Canis lupus familiaris: one gene and its partners. The protein of the gene in region 2 interacts with the protein of the main gene of each other region in a pairwise test. Links are inferred from orthologs where the notes say so. Each region holds a gene or a part of one and is shown on either strand. Other genes may lie near its edges. The genes, in order: CNKSR1, CYTH4, FOS and IPCEF1.

Region 1 (5,281 bases), on a different chromosome or scaffold from region 2:
TCTGTTTTTCCCTCTCCCTCTGTCTCTTCCCCTGGTTGTGCTCTCTCTGTCTCTCTCAAATGAATAAATACAAATTTTTTTTAAATTACCATTTTGGGAATCCTTGGGTGGCTCTGTAGTTTAGCGCCTGCCTTTGGCCCAGGGCGTGATCCTGGAGTCCCGGGATCGAGTCCCACATCGGGCTCCCTGCATGGAGCCTGCTTCTCCCTCTGCCTGTGTCTCTCATGAATAAATAAATCTCTTAAAAATAGATAAAATTACCATTTCTTTCTACATGGATTGAAGTATGAACAGTATCTGGCTTTGTCACCTATTAAAATCACAGATATTTTTATACCAAATTATAGTTATTCAAATATCTCAACATTGTATATGCTCATAATTATTTCAAAATCATGATAGTTATAAACCCATTTCAGACACTCCTGCTATGTAGCTGCCATGGATTGGGCACCTCTAGGTCTAGTAGAGGGTCAGTGACCAAATGGTGAATCTCCCTGTTCTCACACTGGTGACCCAGGCTTCTCCATTATGCTCCTGCATTCCCTATGTTTACTTGTTAACTGATAATGTGAGAGAAGATGAATAAAAGATCACACCACAGTTTAGTGTTCTTCAAGTTTAACACCATGCTGATAACATTAAAAAGGACAATTTAACTTAACAGTCTTGTTATATTTTTTAAAGGTTTTATTCATGAGACACACACAGAGAGAGAAGCAGAGACACAGGCAGAGGGAGAAGCAGGCTCTCCTGAGAGAGCCCTATGTGGGACCCAATCTCTGAACTTCAGGATCATGCCCTGAGACAAAAGCAGAGCTCAACTGCTGAGCCATCCAGGCATCCCCTTGTTACTTTTTTTTTTTTTTTTTTTTGAGATTTTATTTATTCATGATAGAGAGGCAGAGACACAGGCAGAGGGAGAAACAGGCTCCATTCAGGGAGCCTGACACAGGATTCGATCCCGGGACTCCAGGATCACGCCCTGGGCCAAAGGCAGGCGCTGAACCGCTGAGCCACCCAGGGATCCCAAGATTTTATTTATTGATGAGAGACACACAGAGAGAGGCAGAGACATAGGTAAAGGGAGAAGCAGGCTCCCTGCTGGGAGCCAGATGTGTGACTGTATCCCAGGACCCCGGGATCACCTGAGCCAAAGACAGATGATCAACCACTGAGCACCCAGGTACCCAACAGTCTTGTTATCTGATGCTGATAAACACATTACTGTATCATCAATGTATGGGTTTTTTTTAAGACGTTATTTTTTCTCTACACCCAACGTGGGACTCAAACTCACAACCCCAAGAGCAAGAGTTGCACACTCTACTGACTGAGCCCGCCAGGCTCCCCAATCATAAATCCGTGTTTTAAATATGTTTTGGTTATGATTCTCTTCCTTGTAATCTTCAGCATTTCTTTAATGCTTCCAAAAGCCCAATTCTGAGAAAGGGTCCATCGGTTTCACCAGACTGCCAGAAGGGTCTGTGTGTGTGCCCAAAACAGAGGGGGACTAGAAACCCCTGTTCCAAAAAGTTTTGGCGCTATTAAGACAGGTACTCGGCACAGCAGCCCATTTTGCGGAGAACCATGCACGGTGGGTAGGGTTTTGGAGCTAACAAGCTGCAAAGCTGGTTTTCGCTGCCAGGGTTCTGGCTCCTTCTGTGCTCTGACTTGTTTTGTTTTGAGGAGCCTCTTTTGAGGTCAAAGTGCAGTTTGGGGCGGGATCCCGGCCCGCTCCAAAGTCGCCAGGGTCGCAGAGCGGCGGCACCGCCCCGGGTCAGGCGGCCGGGCAGCCCGCGGGGGCGGGAGGCGGGGCGGCGGCGGGCCAATGGCAGCGGCAGCGCCTCACCTGGCCGTGCCCGTGCGCCCAGGTGTGCTGCTGGCTCCGCCCGGGGCCCGGCCCGGGGCCCTCCCCAGGCCGGACTCCGGGAGCGGAAATTCCTGCGCGGGCGGGCCCGGCGGGAGCGGCTGCGGGCGGGCGGTCCGGGCCATGGAGCCAGTAGCGACCTGGAGCCCCGGGAAGGTGGCGGCTTGGCTGAGAGGTGGGCCTGGGCAGAGTCGGGCTGGAGGGGCGCTGGCACGAGCAGACGAAACGGAAAAGGGACGTGCCAGGTCTGTCAGCGGCTTGGTCAACAAGTAGTTCGGGGCGCCTGGCCAGGCGGAGGGATCGACGAGACGCCCCGGGGGCCGGGAGCTCAGCAGGGGTCCCCCAGCGCCGCGCCAGGGGCCGCGGGGGTGCGGGCGGGGAGGCGGCGCCTGCGGGATGAAAACAGAGGGACGGGCCGGCGCCCACGGCCGCCCAAGCGCCTTCATCTTCCCTCCGCCCCAGGGCTCGGTGGGCTGGTATTAAACCCATTTATCAGAAGCGGAAACTGACGCACTGAGCCAGGAAGTGATTTGCTAGGGCTGGGCAACAGGGCCCGTCCTCCTGTCTTTTCCCTTCTCTCCACTTTGAGAGAAACAGAAGGCCCAGTCAGACCGAAGGGGTTGGCACAGCCGCATCCTGGGGCCCCGGGGGAGAGGACGTGGTGGCCAGAGTCACTGAGCCCCGAAGGCGGGGAAAGGGCCCAGACTGCAGCTGGAGAGGGGAGGGGAGTCCTGACAGCCCTCCCGGGGAGCCCGAGCGGGGAGGGGAGTGGAGCTCCCTGCTGGCAGGCTCAGGCCGAGCAGCCCTGGAAAAGCAGGGCTTCAGGGCTGGAGTCAGACTCCCAGGCTGAGTTCCAGGCCCCACCGCTCCACTTACCAGCTCTGCGACCAGAGGTCTCGGTTTCTCTGTCCGTAAGATTAGAAAGTCAACAGCCATCTCATGGAGTAGACAAAATGAGACCATCGCAGCAGGTGCCTAGCCTGCGTGGCTCAAGGTAGACTTGGGAGGAAGGCGGCGCAGCAAGGTCACCGTACTCGGCAGAGGAGCTGCCTGAGGGCTGGAGCCCTGGAGTAGCAGGTCCACCAACTCCCAGTCCAGTGTTCTTAATGTCACACGGGGAACGAGGAAGAGCTATTAATGACCGCTCACATTCCCTAATGATGGAGCCTCACTTGGGATGGAAGGAACTCCTTCAAAGAGTGAGCAAGCTACTTCATCTCTATTTGTATCCATTTTCCCACCTATAAAATGAGGATAATAATAGTCGTTACCTCCTACATTCAGTGAGCACCAAATGTGTTAATACATAGAAAACCCTTAAAATCTTGCCTAGCACATAAGCTTTCAATGGAATTTTTCCTGTCTTCGGTCTGCCTCGTCTACCTTGTGCCAGGCATGGGCTAGAGTTAAGGAGGAACAGTTTTGGATGGCCTAGAGCATGAGGGGCAGTGGGAGCTGGAGAGATCCCAACCCACCCCGGGGAGTTATGGAAAGCTTCCTGGAGGGAGTTAGATTGAAAGGGAGGGTGAAGGAGCTAGAAGAATCCAGGCAGAAGAAATAGTGCATGTGAGGACCCTGAGGCAAAAGAGCATTCCAGGAGCTCCAGGGAGTTAGGGCTCTGGATCTAGAGTATTGAGTTTGAGGGGCTGTGCCAGAGGATGAGACTGGAGAGTCAGGGGGGGCCTGATCATACAGGGCCTTGTAGATCAGGGTAGAGTCTGGTGATGATACCATGGCAGCTACTACTGTCTACCGTGGAATGTAGGGAATGGTCCAAGTGCTTCACGTGTTCCATGTCATTTAATACCCACATGATCAGAAAGTAGGTGCTTTTATTGTTGCCATTTCACAGGTGAGGAAGCTGAGGCATAGAGTGATTAATTTACTTGCTCAGTAAATTAGTCTGATCTAGTCTCATCTGTGAAATGGGCAGAACACGCCCTGGGTCCCAGGATTGTTGTTACGAGCAGATGGGAGGAAAGAGGGCTTTGTGAGAATGAAGAAGTGGCCTGAAAGCCCTGCTCTCCCTCTAGGCCTCCATGACTCCCTACAGGACTACTGCTTTGAGGAATGGGAACTGCCTGGCAAGTACCTGCTCCAGCTCTGTCCCCGAAGCCTTGAGGCTCTGACCGTGTGGCCTCTGGGCCACCAGGAGCTCATCCTGGAAGGGGTGGAACAGCTCCGGGCCCTGGTGAGTGAATGGTGGCCACACTTGTGCAGCTTCCACCCATCTGGGGGTTGCTGATGAGGGGCCGTCTACTGCCAGGAGATAACCTGCCTTTTTTTCTGGCACAGAGCTCTGGGCTACAGACAGAGAACCTTCAGAGCCTGACAGAGAGATTGCTGGAGGGGATCTATGCTTTCCAGAGCTTAGTCCAAGGTCACCTGGAGGGCTGTGTGGAGCCCCCTGCCCATGTCCTCAGTGCAGCTGTGAAACTGATACATGAGGCCCATACCCTCCTCTTCTGGCTCAACAGGTACCCGGGGCTCCTCCTAAGACCCTGGTTGGGCCAGCTGATGAGGGGGACCCTCCTCGTCCTTGGCCTCCTCTGGGACCTGGGAATGAAGAACAGAGCTTGGCTGTTCCGATGTGGAGCAGGGCAAGAAGATTATTTGGTCTGTGTTGGGGGCATCAGGGCACCTGGCTTCCCACCCACCCCCAGCTTGTAATCAGAACAGTCAACACTGCATGAAGAGTTTCTTTACTCCCTTCAACTGCTGCCGCTTATCCCATAGGTCCCGGCTCAAATGTCACCTCTCTGGGAAGCCTTCCCTGTTGTACGTTCTCAGAGCTCCCTATACTTCACAGCAGATCAAATCATATCATTATTGATGTAATCATAGGTTTAAGGTCTGTCTCCCCGGTGCCTAGAACAGGGCTTGGCATGTATTATGCACTTGACAAATAAGTCCTTTGCTAAGCTCTTTAGATTTATCAGTCCTCTCGTTTACCCCAACCAAAACCCATCAGGGCGGATATTATCTCTCCCCATGTGTCAGACAGGTAGTTGGCTCTGAGTGGTTCCATGACTTGACTGGTCATCACAGTCCCCTAATCACTGTTCCACCCTTCCCCCTGCCAGATACCTCTTCTCCCACTTAAACGACTTCTCGGCCTGCCAGAAGATTGGGGAGTTGTGCGGGGAGCTGGGCCAGGCCTTGCAGGAGGTAGGAGAACCAAAGGCCGGGCTTGGCCTGGGCCATAGAGACCAAGTCAGGCTAGAGCTTTTTATAACCTATGAATCAGCACAGGATCGGGTGTGGGGGTTGGGAAGAGGCAGGCACAGGAAGAAAGGAGGCCTGGCCACTGCGTAGGGGCAATGGGGGTGTGGGGTCTTCTAGCTGGCAGGGGTGGCTTGGGAAGTTTAACTCTCAGGAAAAAGTGGAGCCAGGGAGGGCATGTATGGTGAT
Region 2 (5,103 bases):
CCTTCGGACCCTTCACCTGTCTCAAAGCTGGGGTTCCTCCGCATTTCAGCGCAGAGGGTCCAGATGGTTCGGGGAGGGTGCCAAGGACACAGAGTGAGTGGAGGGTGACAGGGACGTAGAGTGAGAGGGCCATTTCTGATTCCCAGCCAGGCGATGCTGGTGTTTTAAGCCCTGGAGCAGCTTAGGGGAGGTGTTTTGTTTTTTTTTTTCTATTTGTTTTTATTGAAGTTTGATTTGCCAAATATAGTATAACATCCAGTGCTCATCCCATCAAGTGCCCTCCTTAGTGCCTCTCACCCAGTCTCCCCAATGCTCTGCATCACTTGCCATCGGGGAAATACAAATCAAAACCACAATGAGATACCACCCCAAACCAGTGAGAACGGGTTTTGATGACAATAGTGATAAAACACAAACAATAATAACATGAGAAGGACAATAGCCACCACCATGAACTCTCTTGACTCCTCAGCTTGACTCTAATTTTCAGGCCTCACAAGGGCCAGTTTTGGACAACTGAGCCCACGCCTGCTGCAGGCTGTGGTTGCCCTCTGCACCCGTGCCCAGGCTGCGGGGAGTGCCCGGGGGCCCACCCCGACCACCTCCCCAACTCCTCCCTGCTTCCCCTTTGTCCTTCCTCTTTCCCATCATATTTTTAGAAATCATTCTGCTTGCAGCCTGGCTTCCAGGACAGCTGGCCTTGCTTCCGCTTTCCAGGGCGAGAGGAGGGTGCTCTCCTGGGGCCCCCCCCAGGGGGCAGAGGCGCCTCAGAGTCTCCGCGTGAGGGGCACCCAGGCAGGAGGGGGTGTCTGGCGGAGCGGCTCCGCCCCAGCCCCTGAGGCTCTGTGGGTGTCCGTGTGGCTTCCTCCCCACCCCCAGAGCCAAGCTGTCTCTATTTTTAACTGCACCCTAGCCTCGCTGCACCAACCCCAAGTTGTTGTCTTTGGTCACGTAGGGGCTTTGCTGCCTGGACCTCTCAGCTTCCCAGCAGGCCCTGGGGGAGGGGGCTTGATCTGCTTCTCTGCAGGACAAGCTGGAGGAGGCCAGGTTGTCCTGGGGGAGCCCGGCCCCATCCTATCTACGGCAGAGGTGAGGAAGCAGAGCCCACAGAGGATAAAAGGCCCATCATGACCACTGGTGGGTTGGTGCAGAGCTGGGCCCCCAGCCAGGTGGGGTGAGTCCCACCCCCCACTCATTCCCCACTTTCCCAGCTCAGGCTGGGGGTGGAGGGGCCCTTATGGATGATGAATCTGAGCTCAGAGAGGGAAGTCACCTGGCTGGGGAGGAGCTTTGATTAAGACCCACTCTGGACAATGGGGGATGACCTTCCTTCCCTCCCTCTGACTCCTCCAGGAAGTTTTCCCAGCTTGTCCCCCCCCCAGGTGGAAGAAGTCGCTTCCTCATCTGCCCTGGGTCATTGTCTGCAGGATCTGTCTCCCCATCCCCCCGCATCCTGGACCAGCAGCTCCCCCAACAGCTGGGTCCCCACTGTCCCAGCACCGCTCAGCCAGCACAGGACCTGCACACCGGAGGACTGTTTGCAGCATGAGTGAATGAATGAATGAATGACCCAATCCATGGAGATCTCAAATCTCCCAGCAGACCACCTGCATTGACCTTCCTCAACCCACTCCCACCCAGGGCCAGCCTAAAGCTAAGCGGCGGCCCACCTTCTTGGTGTCCCGGCGCCTCCCACAGCCCGGGCTGACCCCTGCTCTCTTTCCTCTCAGGTTCACGTCCCTGGCCACTAACAGGCGAGTCAGCCCTCTCGTCCACTTCACCTCTTTATGGAGACGACCCTCCCTGTTCTGAAGGACCTCGGGCTGTGAGAGCAAAGTAATAGCGGTGGGAAGACAGGCAGTGTGGGCTCCGTGACTTCAGCGTCTCCTATCACCTCCCATCTGGCGAGTGACCTGGAGCCAGGTGCTACTCCTCACTGGGTCCCCTCTTGCCTTCTGGTCGCCACCTATGACATATCACGGAGCCCGTCCAGTCTGTGAGCCACCTGCCACCAAAAGCCCAAACGGGGTTGAAGGGATGGGTGGTTCTGTGTGTTCCCCAGAGCCCGCGGAGCCAGGGAGGCTGGGGGGCGGGGTCACACGGCTCTGCCTTCGGTTTTGTTGGAAGAAAGGGTTCTCTTGCTAACCGGGGTCGATGTCATCTGAAGCTTGGGGACTGGACAGCTCCCGGCAGCCTCGTCTCCTGGATCTCCAGGCAATGCTGGGATATTCTGGTTGCAGGGCACAGAGGCTTTGTCCCTCTTCTCCCTGCCTTGCAGAAACGCAGCAGGATCCTGTTGTCTCCCCTACCAGCTGCGTAGACACCTCTCCTCTTTCCCCCGGACATGCTTCTGTTCACTGGGGAGGGTCTCCGCTGCTCCTCCCTGGCCTCCACCAGCGCTCTAGGCTTGCCCTCGGCCTCCCCATCCTCAAAGGCCAGACAGGAGCTTGAGGACCCTTGTGCCACCCAGACAGCCATTGTCACCAACATTATCATCCTCAGCTCTTGCACTGCTGTCCCTTCCCCCTGGAATATTCCTTCCCCAGAAACCCATATAGATCACTCCCTCCCCCCTCCAGGTCTCTGCCCAAATGGTGCCTCCTTCTGAGGCCTTCTCCAGCACCTCTCCATCATCCTTACCCTCCTTGACTGTTCTTCCTCCTGCTTGTCACCTCCTGACATATTACATTAATACCTTTCCTGACAGTCTCCCCCGCTAGAGCGTGAGCTCATGGGAGCAGGGACAGGGCCTGCTTTGTTCACTGCACTCCCAGCCCCTGGAGCACAGCTTGGCCCCCAGCCTGAGCTCATAAACATTCATTGCATGCTTCTGCCTTTCCCACCTTATATCTATTTACATATTGATTCCTCCCAGGGTCCTGCAAAGCAAGCACAATTGTCCCCATCTTACAGAAGAGGAAACTGAGGCCCAGAGAGGTTGGCCCCAGGTGCTTACCTGGGTGGCACAAGTCCATTCTGAGGCCCTGAGGAAGGGTGGCCTGTGCTCCTGTCGCCCGCTGAGCCAGCTGCTGCTCGAGCTGGCCAGGCAGAGAGGTGTCACCTCAGCTACATCAGGCCCCTTCCGGGTCGCCCCGCCCAGCCCCGTGTGGGGAGGAAGTCCTGTCTGCTAGGATCTGGTGTGTAGGCTCTTGACAAAGCAGCACTTCCTAAAACTGGCAGAATTTCGTGTAGCAGGGACTCTGCATTTTTGGGTGCGGGCTAGGGAGATTTAGAGACAACGGAGACAAACAAAGGGAGGGATTGGGGGGATAAAAAGAGAAAGTGAGACAGAGTGGCACACCACGGGCGCGCATGCGCACACACGCGTGCAGAGAATGATGGCTGCTGGGGGACACAGCCTTCTCCAGGGAACGTCGGGCATTTACTTACCAACGTCCCCAGATGTCAGCTGAAGGGTCACCCTTGGACAACGGGGCCCCAAAGATTCTGCCCTACAAGCTCTCTTCCATCTCCTCAGCCTTGGGAAAAAGAAAATGGATTCAGTGCTAGGAAAGGCTTTGCTTCCCTTTGATGACATGCCTGGCTCTTTCCTGTCTAGTGACCAATTGGCAGTATGTTTAGTTTCTCTTTTCCCCCAGGCTGCTAGGAAACTCATAGTCAAATCCGAAGCTCCTTTACAACTGTTCCACTGTAACACATGAACTTTGGGGCCAGACTCAGCTGTGTGGCTCTCAGCTCTGCCACTTGGGTCCTGTGAGAACTCCAGCAAGGTCACTTATCTGCAGCCAGCCTCAGTTTGCTTACCTATAAAAGGGGAATAAGAGGGGTGCCTGGGGGCTCAGTCAGTTAAGCAGCTGCCTTTGGCTCAGGTCATGATCCCAGAGTCCTGGAGATGGAGCCCTGCATTGGGCTTCCTGCTCAGTGGGGAGCCTACTAACCTCTCTGGCTCCCCCCCCTCGCCCCCACCTCTTGTGCTCTCTCTGTCTCTAATAAATAAATAAAAAAAAATTTTAAAGGGAGAATAATAATCCTCACCTCAGGGTTATAGAAAAGGGGGTGGAAAGAATGTGCTTAAGATGCTTGGGACATAGTGGGTGCTTAATGAACACTATCTTCTTTTCCTTTTGGTTTTAGTTTTCTTTCTGGTTAAAATTCCCAATTTAATGCTTGTGCCTTTTCCAGCAGGTTGATCCAATTTCTTTGTGGAAAAAAGTGTTGTGTAAAGAAATATCTATTTAAAAAATGCTCACTCTGTGTAACTGTGTGTCACACATGGATTTATTCGTCTGTTTCCCTACCAGTCTGGAGGCCCCATGAGGACAAGTTCACCTCCATGTCTTCATGTCTGGTAAAAGCAATGAATGAATAAGTGAATGAATAAAAGGAACATAGGAGAAGTAGTATGGTTGATGCCAAAGTTGGCTACACTTTCCACCCTTCCCTGTGTGCACACACCTTTGCATGGTTACGCTGCCCCTCCTCCCCTCAAGAGGTGGAGTCTATTTCTCTTCCCATTGAATCTGGACTGGGCTGTGTCTGTCTCTGGCCACCTGCCTGCCCAGCTGCTGTGAGAACCAGCCTGGGCTAGCCTGCTGGAGGGTGGGAGGCCACACAGAGAAAAGCCCAGCTATCCTGACTGCGTCCTGTTGCAGCCTCATGAGTGAGTCCAGGGAACACCAAGAGAAGGACCACTAAGTGGAGTCCAACCCACATGGCTGTCCCATGGAACTGTGAGAAATAACAGAAGTTTGCTGTTTTAAGCTACCAATTTGGGGGGTGGTTTGTTACGCAGCACAAGCTCACCAGTACAGGTGAAATCCAATGCCTTCATGTCATTGAAGTGAAAACTGAGGCTCATTTCTGGAACATGCTTGACCAACTTGGATTAGTGGCCATCCTAGGGCCAGAAGTCAGGCCTACCTCCTGTCAGTCTTGTGCTCTCAGGACTCTTGGAAGCAGCCCCCCTTCTGCCCTTGGGCTCTTGCATAACTCAAGGTCATTCTCTAGGAAACCTGTTGAAGTGGTCTCCAGAGGAAATAGATTTTTCTCTACACATTTGGGTCTGAGGCACAACAGCCCATTTCCTGGGTCACTTCAAAAACAGAAACGGGGAGGAAGGTGTCATTCCCTGTGCAGAAAAGT
Region 3 (5,153 bases), on a different chromosome or scaffold from region 2:
AAAAGACCTCAAGGTAGAAAAAAATAAAATAAAAATATAAATATCTGAGAATCCATCTTAATAAATAAATTAAAAACACAATAAAACGTTTTCATGGAAAACTGTTAATGTCAGAACATTCAGACCACCTCAACAATGCATGATCAGTAACGTTACAATGAACATTGATGTTGAAGAAAAAACTACAGTACATGGATAGAGCTATTTATTTCTATCTACTAGAAAATAAAGTCATATCTTTTCTTAGTTTAATATTGGTCATTGCTAATCAGAACACACTATTGCCGGGAACACAGTAGTTATTGTTAAAATCAGCTGCACTAGATACAATTCGAAAATATCCAGCACCAGGTTAATTCCAATAATGAACCCAATAGATTAGTTAATGCTATGAGAAGACTAAAGAGAAAGAGATAAGAGACACAGACCCAGGCCTGGCTCAACATGCTACTAACTACCAGCTCTCAGATGTGTCACTGGGAACAATACACACTCCATGCGTTTTGCTACATCTCCGGAAGAGGTAAGGACTTGAGGCCGCGCGTGGATGCTTTCAAGTCCTTGAGGCCCACCGCCTGGTGTGTTTCGCGCACAGATAAGGTCCTCCCTAGGTCTACGGGAACCCTCGAGGGAAGACGTGTTTCTCCTCTCTGTAATGCACCAACTTGGGCAGTAGCACCCTAGGGTGCCTGCCGCCTCCCCTCCCTGCCTGCTCACAGGGCCAGCAGCGTGGGTGAGCTGAGCGAGTCAGAGGAGGGTTCGTTGCTGCTGCTGCCCTTGCGATGAGCGGCCGCACAGCTGGGGAAGGAGTCAGCCTCAGGGTAGGTGAAGACGAAGGAAGACGTATAGGTAGTGCAGCTAGGAGTACAGGTGACTACGGGGGTGCACAGAGGCTCGGGCTCTGTGGCCATGGGCCCCATCCCCAGGGAGCCACCATGCAGGGGCTCCCAGTCTGCTGCATAGAAGGAACCAGACAGGTCCATGTCTGGCACGGAGCGGGCGGTCTCCGAGCCGCTGGGCCTGGATGATGCTGGAAACAGGAAGTCATCAAAGGGCTCGGCCTTCAGCTCCATGCTGCCGATGCTCTTGACGGGCTCCACGGAGGGCTTGGGCTCAGGATCATTGAGGAGGGGCAGGGTGAAAGCCTCCTCGGACTCCGGGGTGGCAGCTTCGGGCAGGCCCCCGCTCAGATCTAGGGAAGCCACGGACATCTCTTCGGGGAAGCCCAGGTCATCAGGGATCTTGCAGGCAGGTCGGTGAGCTGCCAGGATGAACTCTAGTTTCTCCTTCTCCTTCAGCAGGTTGGCAATCTCGGTCTGCAGAGCAGACTTCTCGTCTTCTAGTTGGTCTGTCTCCTGTATCCAGAGGGACAGAGCAAAGCATAAGACGCGGGCCTACTCAAGGGCCCTGCTCCCGGATACCCAGTCTCCAACTTTCCCCCTAAGTTTGAAAAAGGAGTGACCCACAGGGTCTACCTACCGCTTGGAGCGTGTCAGTCAGCTCCCTCCTGCGGTTCCGGCACTTGGCTGCAGCCATCTTATTCCTTTCCCTTCGGATTCTCCTTTTCTCTTCTTCTTCTGGGGACAGCTAGAAAAACAATTTCCAAAAGGCCAACAGTCAGTAACAAGGTCTGCCATCAGCTGGGTTCAGCCACCCCGGGGTGAAACTGGTCCCTGCAGCTTCCCAGCTTCCTGGCACCCCTGCGAGGAAGCCATTTCTAACCTGCACTTGCGGGCTGGGTGTGACTTGCATTTAAAATAAGATCCTTAGCAAGAGAACAAAGAAGAGCCCGGTCTAAAAGCTGGAGAAGGAGCCTATGAGGGAAGAAATACTACCAGAGTATTTCTTGGGGTAGGACTATCAGAGTCCGGCGTGGGACGGAAATGGCTTGGAGCCAGGGTTCCTCGTGGAGGACAGATAGGTGGTGACTCCATCAGTGGCTTCGCCCTGCCCACGGTGCTCCCCAGCTCCACCAATGCCAACCCACGCCCCCTACTGAGAGAAGGTGCTGGAAGAACCGCTCACCTGTTCCACCTTGCCCCTCCGGCCAATGCTCTGAGCTCTGCCTCCCGTCATGGTCTTCACAACGCCAGCCCTGGAGTAAGCCCCAGCCGAGGGGGTGGGGACTCCATACGGGTGGGGGGCTCTGGTCTGGGACGGGGCCACGGAGGAGACCAGGGTGGGCTGCACCAGCCACTGCAGGTCCGGGCTGGTGGAGATGGCAGTCACCGTCGGGATGAAGTTGGCACTGGAGACGGCCAGATCGGTGCAGAAGTCCTAGAACGGAACAGAGGGGGCAAAGCTGACGTGAGGGAGCAGGTTCCGGACACAGGTGCGGCGGGCCGGGCGTCCAGTGCCGCATGCAGCGGCGGAGAGCGGAGGAGAAGCACGCCCCGGACTGCTCGGGGCTTCTGATGTGCCCCTCGTCCTGGAGGCAGGGGGCTCTCCGTGTCCTCCCAGGAAGCCCGCGACGCAGCGCGTTTCTCCTCCACCCTGCTGCTGCGTCCCCGTTACCCCTCCGGCATCACTCGCCTGAAAGGGGGTTTGTTATAAATATCCCTGACGTCTGCGCTGACGCAGGCGCCGCTCCGGAGTCTCCTGAATGAACTCGCTTTTTATCAATGAAACTGCCTTACACACCCGCCGGCTTCACCCTCCTCCCCCGCCCCTCCTCCCGGCTCCGGGCTGCGCGGGGAGGGGTGGGGGCGGGGGGATTGCCGCTTCCCGTCGCCTCCCGGAGGAGCCAGGCGCTAGTTCGCGAGTCTCGGCCTGGGACACGCTGCGCCCCGGGTAATGCCAGGGAGCGCGGCCCGAGGGCGGCCCCAGCCGGGCCTGCCGCGGGAGAGGGGGGCCGATCCTCGCTAGGACAGCGCGCGTGCGCCCCACCGAGTCCGGGGGTCCCGCGGTAGGGCAGCTTCCCCCCCGACTCGCCTTCCCGAGCGTCCCGCCCCGGAGTCTCCGCCCTGGGGTCGGACCCTGCCCCGGGCCCCGCGGCGGCGCGAAGCCAGCCTCACCTGCGCATTGACGGGAGAGCCCATGCTGGAGAAGGAGTCGGCCGGTGAGTGGTAGTAGGAGAGGGTGTCCCCGGCCGGGGACGCGCTGCTGCAGCGGGAGGAGGACGCCTCGTAGTCGGCGTTGAAACCAGAGAACATCATGGTCGCGGTGAGTCAGGGCCGGGGCGAGGGGCTGAGGGGCGGAGACAGGCCGGAGCTGTGGGGCAGAGCTGGGTGGGAGCGCGGTCACTGCTCGCTCGCTGCGCCGCGGCCGCCGGCTCCGTCTCGGCTTCTCGGCTGCTCGCTGCAGATGCGGTTGGAGTACGAGGCGCCGCAGCACCGCATTTATAGCAGCATTCTATGAATGAGCCCCCACCCACGTCATGGGCGCAACCATCGCGGCGCCAGGGGGGTGGCCGGCCGACCTGCGCACGCCTTCGGCCTCCTTGCCGCCGCCGCCGCCCCCGCCGCCCCCCACTGCCCGTCTTAATGTGGTCCCTTATCTCCTGAGCGATCAGCAATTTGGGTCTCCGGGGTCCCGTGGAGCCCCCGAGACGAGGGACTCCGGGGACGGCTCCCCCCACGACCGCAGGGAACGGCCGTGGAAACCTGCTGACGCAGATGTCCTAATATGGACATCCTGTGTAAGGGGGGACGGATTGACGGGAACTGCTCGCCGGCTGCAGCCAACACCGAGGGTGCAGCGCGGGGGGAGGCGGGGGCCGCGGCCGGGGGAGGGGAGGCGGGAAAGGAGAAGAACGCGAGCGAACATTCGCACCTGGTTCAATGCGGACCCTTGTTCCCCGGGCGGGGTGGGGGGATGGGCCGGGAGCGCCTTTTTACCAGTATACGGCGCCCCGGAAATGTGCTGGGGCTCAGGTATGGGAGAAACAGGTACACAGCCCGAGGGCTTAAGCCTCAGCCCCAGAAGGAATGCGCCGCCTCCACCCCCGCCCCCGGCCATTCCGGATTCTACCCTGATTCAGTGCACCCCGTGAAAGCAGACCCTCAAGCCCCCAGTCCGCAGCAGTACTAGGGCTGTTACTGCATTTGGAAGCAGAAAAGTCGGGAAATCCGAAATAAGGGAATACGTACGCTAACCTACTTTATCTACGATGTTGGGTATTTTAATTTTAATTGTTTTGGTTTTTTATTTTTAGGGAAAAAAGCGCATTTTTTTTTTCTCGGCCATACTTAGGGACATTAGCGATACCGTCAAATCTGAGACGCTAGCCAGTGAATATTGGGCAGAGCCTCCATGCAAGGATATCTGATGGGTTCGTTTGCCTAGTTCTGAGCTGGGGCCCGGGGAGTGGGATGCGATTCCGGGGGTGCTATGTGGACAAGGTGGTCAGTTGAGGGTACCGGGTGGAGAGAGTTCCCCGGGGGAGCGCAAATCCGAGCTGGGAAGTTAGACGAGGCTCGGTTCCCCCAGGAAGCTGGGCTTACTGGCTGCCCACAGCGGGTGATTTTCCAGCGCAGACTTGGGGGGGGGGGGACCGGGGGCGCTGGAAGGACTGTAGCCAGCAGCTCCCAGGAGGGAGACCTCGGCCGCTGTGGGACCTCAGGCGCGGCTCTGTGGCCTGGAAAACCGGGTTGGGGCGGTCGGGGGCTCGAGCGTGCGTTGCACCCCCAGAGACCCCCCCAGCCTCCTCCTCCGCTGCAAAGGACACCTGGGGTCACATTGCCCCAGCCCGGGTTCCAGCGCGCGGCCTCCTCCGGGGCGCGAAGTCGCAGAGCCCAGCGGAGCCCCCGTGTGCCTTCCCCACTCTTCCGGGCCCCGGGCTCGCGGTGGACCCCTGGAAAGGGGCGAGGCGGGACTAGGGCCGCGGGCGGATCCCTCGGGGCGCGCGGGGAGCCGGACCGCCGACCTGCCTCCCGCCGCCGCACCCCGGAGCCAGGCGATCCTGCTATAGATAGTAACAGGGAAGCGGCTGTTTACAGCAACACTGCGCCGCCAGGGCTGTCTCCAGGCGACGCCGCGCGGCCGGGCGCGCCGTCGGCCGGGCCAGGCCGCCCTCCCTCCTCGCTCCCCCGGGGCCTCGGCCTCCCCGGCCCCGCCGCGGCCACTCCCGCCGCCTGACATCATCCTCCGGGTCCGGGGGCTGCGTGCGGCTCGCGCGCGGCTGTGCGCTAACCTCCATTCTTAGAGATGAGAAC
Region 4 (5,198 bases), on a different chromosome or scaffold from region 2:
CTTTTATTCATAGAAGTTCTCATAACTGTACTGAGTTATTATTGTTACAATTAGTTCTTTCATATCTGACTCCCCACTATAGTATAACTTACCTGAAGGCAGGCACTGTGTCTTGTTCACTTGTTTACTACTGTTTCCCCAATCTTTGTACACAGGATGATTCAATAGACATTTGTAGAGTAACCAAATTAAAAATACAAACTAGTAGGGCAGCCCCTGTGGCGCAGCGGTTTAGCGCCGCCTGCAGCCCAGGGCGTGATCTGGAGACCCTGGATCTAGTCCCACGTCAGGCTCTCTGCATGGAGCCTGCTTGTGTCTCTGCCTCTCTCTCCCTGAATCTCTTTCTTTATTTATGAATGAATAAATAAAATCTAAAAAAAAAAAAAAAAAAAAAAAAAAAAAAAAAAAAAACTAGTAAAAACACTAAACTATAGAGGAGTTTCCATAAACAAATCCTATGAATTCCAAAGTGTTTTGCTTAGGGGAATGGTGCTGTCAGGAATATCCCTCTAGAATTCACCTTCCCAATCTGCAGGATATGGAGACTGTTGATGTCAGATTTCTCTGAATCAAAGAAAAATGGGTAGAAACACAATCAGTGGTACAGCTGGGGAAGAATAAAGCAGAGGGTGGGGCATACCTAGGCACAGAGCCATTGTAGAGGCTATGTGTCAGTGTTTACTTAATAATTTTAGAGTTTCAGTACATTATTTCTTGAAGTAGTAAACATACATGAAATCAAAAGTTTCACCAAGAAGCTTCAAAGATAATTTGAGGCAGAATCATCAAAACAATTTAAACTCAAATGTTGCTTCTCCTCTTCCATAAAAAGCACAGACCCATAATCCAAAAGAATTAGGAAATGAAATGGTGGTCATGGATACTAATATAAATATGTTTGCTTATTGTTTAGACAAGGAGAACCAGCTCAGCTAACCATGGTACAGCATACTTGTTATCTATATATTGACAAGCTAAATATGTAGCACCAAGATTTTGATAAAAATATTTATAAAGCACACAATAAAAGCAGTTCATAAAAAAAATGATGCTGACAAAGGTGTTTTGAAAGTAATAATTTTGCCTTGTTCCCAACACTTCCTGAGTGTATCAGTTTAAGCAAGCTGCTCATAAGTAAAAAGAGTTCAAGGAAGAAGGAATAGTTATTTGATATCTCTTGATAAAGGATTTTTTTTATGGAGGATTTTTGTATAATACCCAGGAATTAAAAGTGTATAAGAACCTAATGATAAGGCAACAAATACCTTTCATGAGTCAAGAAGTTTCTAATTCTTTGCTTTCAACAAGATTTTTAAAAATTTATTTTAATTGTTATTTATTAAAAGTAGTTGCTGTGATAGATCACATGAGGTATTTGACATATAGTTGGAAGGGGTTCAAGAGTGCTTCATTCCCAACTATTTATTTATGTGTAAAACAGGTCTAAGGTCACATACATAAAAACCAAGAAAAGGATCAAAATTGGTGCTGAACTCTCTCTCATTCTAGCAATAAATAATATTCACCTATAAGCAATTCTATAATTAGGGGGAAAGCCTCATATATTTTATTAAATGATGCATTCTCAATAAAAATATGTACCTCTTGTATTAATCATTATTTTGTCAAAATATCATATTCATGTTATTTGTTAAATTATGTACTAATAATTATAGTGATAACCCACTCCAAATGAAATCTTATATGGCTTAAAGAATTTGTCATGCACAAAAATTAAATCAATTTCAGTTTAAATATGTATTTTTTGCTGAAATGTATAAAACCATCAATGAAAGATTTTAAAACATATATATAATTGCATAAAAATCCATGGAATAGTAGAATAAAAATATGAGTTCCCGGAGGGTGGAATGGGGTGGAGAAGAAAACAGCAATGTAAAATTAAAACTCCAAAGATGACTTTTTAAAAAATATATATGTGAGACATATCAGATCTCTGCTATTTATATCACACAGGTTATAGTTCTTTTAATATATATCAAAAGAAATATACATATTTTTAAATATAACCTTTTATAACAAGATTTATCATGTGCCAGAAATGACATCTTTTGCAACTATTGAAACATATAATAAAAACTAGGTGACAATGTAAGGTGTCAAGGAGTATATAGGGCTTCCAAATTACTTTCTGGGTACACAACCAAAATAACATGTTTCAAAACTACAACACACATAAGCATTAGGGTCAAACATTTCACCTTGCCACTCATTAAATGTGGAAACTTCTTAGAATCACTTAGTTTGCCTAAATAGACACCTCATATGTTAAACAGAAATAATAACAATAAGCTCAGAGATTTTGTGAGAATTAAATGAAATATCACATGAGAAACTTGCAGGACCCTATGCATACTCACCAAGTGGTAGCAATTATCTTGAATGGGAGTAATTACCTGGAAATGGCTTTGTTATAGAAAACAATTCTTCCTGATGGAATTAGCACACAACTAAAGGATGTGAGCAAGTATGATAACAGGTTTCATCAAATAAAATAGCTTTTACTCTTCAAGGTTGATTAAACTCCCTATCCTACTCTCCTAGAGACATTTTGGGTGCCTTGTTTCAGAGTTTAAGGGTTTCGGGGAATAGTTTTCTCAGTCCCATTTGAGACTATTAACTTCTTTAAAAAACAACTCCTTAACACAACACCATATGAGACTCAGCCAAAACAATGAGGTCATAAATACTTTAAGTTTGTGAAATGAAATAAAATGTATTCCTGATAAGCTCTGTAACTAAAAAGTGGAAAACACATTTCATTACCAAATGAATAATAAAGCTAATTTCAAGGAAGAAAAATTCCTTAATATATACTGATTGTTATGGATTGACTATGTGTGTTCTCCACTCCCCCTCCCAAAATTCGTAGGTTTTGATTTAATCCCCATGTAATGTGTTTGGAGGTGAGGCCTTTGGATGCTGATTAGGTCATGACAGTGGAGTTCTCATAAATGGGATTAAGGCCATTAAAGAGGCCAGAGAGCTAGCTCCCTCTCTTTCTACCACACCAAGAGACAAGAAGAATTGGCAATCTGCAAGTCAGAAGAGAGCTCTTACCAGAACCCGACCGTGATGGCACCATGATCTTGAACTCCCAGCCTCCAGAACAATGACAAATCAATTTGTGTTGTGGACAAGGCACCCAGTTATGGTATTTTGGCATAGAAGCCCAAGCTGATGAAGAATCATTTTTCTTCACTAGATGCTGGTGAAGAATCATTCTATTTTGTTTCAGGCACAAACAAAATATAAGTTTATTCTAGCAATATATTTCAAGAACTGTTTAGCAAATTAGTTAAGTTAGAAATAGGGATTCTGGTCTTATATCATTTTAAAACTGAAGAATAAACCAAGAATATCAACATGCAACCAACGCTCTATTGATAAAGAAGGCAGTTACTAGTATAATTGGTACTTTTTGTTAAAGAACGAAGAAAGAAATTCCTAAAGGCAGTTATTGGTTCAGCTGATCCAAAAGTAACTTGCCTCCCCTCTAGACCTTATAATCTTTGGAATAATACAGCAAAATAAGCACCATGGCCAGTTTTAAAGGTTTTTGAAAAGGAAATGATTCAGATGAGTACCGGGTGTTGTATGGAAGTGCTGAATCACTATACTATACACCTGAGACTAATATTACATTGTATGTTAACTACCTGAAATTTAAATAAAAACTTATTTTAGGGATCCCTGGGTGGCGCAGCAGTTTGGCGCCTGCCTTTGGCCCAGGGCGCCATCCTGGAGACCCGGGATCGAATCCCACATCGGGCTCCTGGTGCATGGAGCCTGCTTCTCCCTCTGCCTATGTCTCTGCCTCTCCCTCTCTCTCTCTCTCTCACTGTGTGCTTACCATAAATAAAATAAAAATTTAAAAAAACTTTTTTTTTAAAAAAAGACAATTTATTGTGCTTAAAAGATAGCTCAGGTAGAATAAACTATGGCCTAGGTTTGTTCTTTTTTCACAGAGCAAGACAATGCTGAACTAAAATTTTAAAAACCAACATATTAATTCATAATGTGCTCATCCTTTAAAATTACAAGCCTGGTATATGACAAAACATTCTCAGAGCAGCAAAGAAACTTATAGAAAGTCCATGAACATGGGCAAACAATGTGCATTATTCTTAATCCAAGAACTAGAGCTAAAGAGGAAATAGAAAATGCTGGTCACTCTAGAGGCAGAAGTCTCAGACACAGAAAGTATGTAATATGTGTGGCAATAAACTGTACACTTAACCAGCAATGAGAGCCGTAAGCAAGCATCTTCTGTTAAATGGTAGTCTGTGATAGCAGCACCATAGGAATCAAGAAAGGAAATCCATCTTTGTTCTTATATAAAAGCAAAGGACATGGAAAAAATCCATTAGTTTTGCAAGTTAGCAGGAGATCTCTTGTTAAGATAGAGCAGGAGAGAAGGAAACAAAATATAAGAGCCCCCTATGAGTACAAACACAGTGATGTATGGCATGGGGATGGTCTGGAGTTATTACTTGATCCAAGAAGTTGAAATTCATGAAAGGAAAAATGCCTTTATCCAAATTATTTCAAACATTTTTTCTTTTCTTTTCTCTTCTTTTTTTTTCTTTTTAAGATTTATCTATTCTAGGGTGGGGGAGCAGAAGGAGAGGAAGAAAGGAACTCAAGCAGACTCCACGCTCAGTGTGGAGCCCAACCTGGGGCTCAATCTCATGACCCTGAGATCACAACTAAGCTGAAACCAAGTCCCATGCTTAACGGACACCATGCAGGCATCTGCATTTTTCTGTTAAATTTAAGCTCTATTATCATCTGGATTCTGATCTATTTCCTGCATGCTTTAGAAAATCTTATTCTTTCTTTCCTTCCATTTATTTTCTCCTTTTTACTGTTAACTTTTCCACTCATTTTGCTACATTTCTGCTCTCTCTCCACTTTGAGAATGAACTGACAGATGGTTTTCAGAGCCACAGCTTTTTTTAAAACAGAAACTATGATGATTAAAATTACTTTATTTTCAACACCACTAAAATACTGTGATACATCATCTGAAGAGATTGGCAGACCTCTCCCTCACTTGTCCTTCTTGCATTCCCACAGAAGCTGTCAGTCCTGACAATCAAGACTTAGACAGAAAAATCTACAAATCTAAGCAAGGAAAGCTCCTCTTTCAGCCAATCATGTCAATCTCTGCTCCC

The links.
Region 1: the proteins of CYTH4 (region 2) and CNKSR1 interact in binary tests that used the Homo sapiens proteins (3 or more experiments, as listed by UniProt). The two-hybrid records come from large-scale screens. The link is inferred for Canis lupus familiaris from reciprocal best matches to the Homo sapiens genes CYTH4 and CNKSR1.
Region 3: the proteins of CYTH4 (region 2) and FOS interact in a two-hybrid assay, tested with the Homo sapiens proteins (2 studies listed by BioGRID and IntAct). The two-hybrid records come from large-scale screens. The link is inferred for Canis lupus familiaris from reciprocal best matches to the Homo sapiens genes CYTH4 and FOS.
Region 4: the proteins of CYTH4 (region 2) and IPCEF1 interact in binary tests that used the Homo sapiens proteins (3 or more experiments, as listed by UniProt). The link is inferred for Canis lupus familiaris from reciprocal best matches to the Homo sapiens genes CYTH4 and IPCEF1.

The regions. Positions count from the first base shown.
Region 1 is NC_049223.1:73,208,439-73,213,719, reverse strand, and holds the start of CNKSR1 (connector enhancer of kinase suppressor of ras 1), read left to right. Parts: upstream 1-1,881; 5' UTR 1,882-1,993; coding exon 1,994-2,045; exon of another isoform or gene 2,046-2,259; intron 2,260-2,260; exon of another isoform or gene 2,261-3,047; coding exon of another isoform or gene 3,048-3,069; exon of another isoform or gene 3,070-3,111; intron 3,112-3,119; exon of another isoform or gene 3,120-3,903; coding exon 3,904-4,061; exon of another isoform or gene 4,062-4,165; coding exon 4,166-4,347; exon of another isoform or gene 4,348-4,426; intron 4,427-4,953; coding exon 4,954-5,038; intron 5,039-5,120; exon of another isoform or gene 5,121-5,181; intron 5,182-5,281. UniProt on the Homo sapiens protein: May function as an adapter protein or regulator of Ras signaling pathways.
Region 2 is NC_049231.1:28,266,264-28,271,366, forward strand, and holds the start of CYTH4 (cytohesin-4), read right to left. Parts: upstream 3,152-5,103; 5' UTR 2,976-3,151; coding exon 2,957-2,975; intron 1-2,956. UniProt on the Homo sapiens protein: Promotes guanine-nucleotide exchange on ARF1 and ARF5. Promotes the activation of ARF factors through replacement of GDP with GTP.
Region 3 is NC_049229.1:48,647,190-48,652,342, reverse strand, and holds the start of FOS (proto-oncogene c-Fos), read right to left. Parts: upstream 3,316-5,153; 5' UTR 3,156-3,315; coding exon 3,015-3,155; intron 2,278-3,014; coding exon 2,026-2,277; intron 1,588-2,025; coding exon 1,480-1,587; intron 1,356-1,479; coding exon 714-1,355; 3' UTR 1-713. UniProt on the Homo sapiens protein: Nuclear phosphoprotein which forms a tight but non-covalently linked complex with the JUN/AP-1 transcription factor. In the heterodimer, FOS and JUN/AP-1 basic regions each seems to interact with symmetrical DNA half sites.
Region 4 is NC_049222.1:44,640,276-44,645,473, forward strand, and holds the start of IPCEF1 (interactor protein for cytohesin exchange factors 1), read right to left. Parts: upstream 3,246-5,198; 5' UTR 3,245-3,245; coding exon 3,082-3,244; intron 1-3,081. UniProt on the Homo sapiens protein: Enhances the promotion of guanine-nucleotide exchange by PSCD2 on ARF6 in a concentration-dependent manner.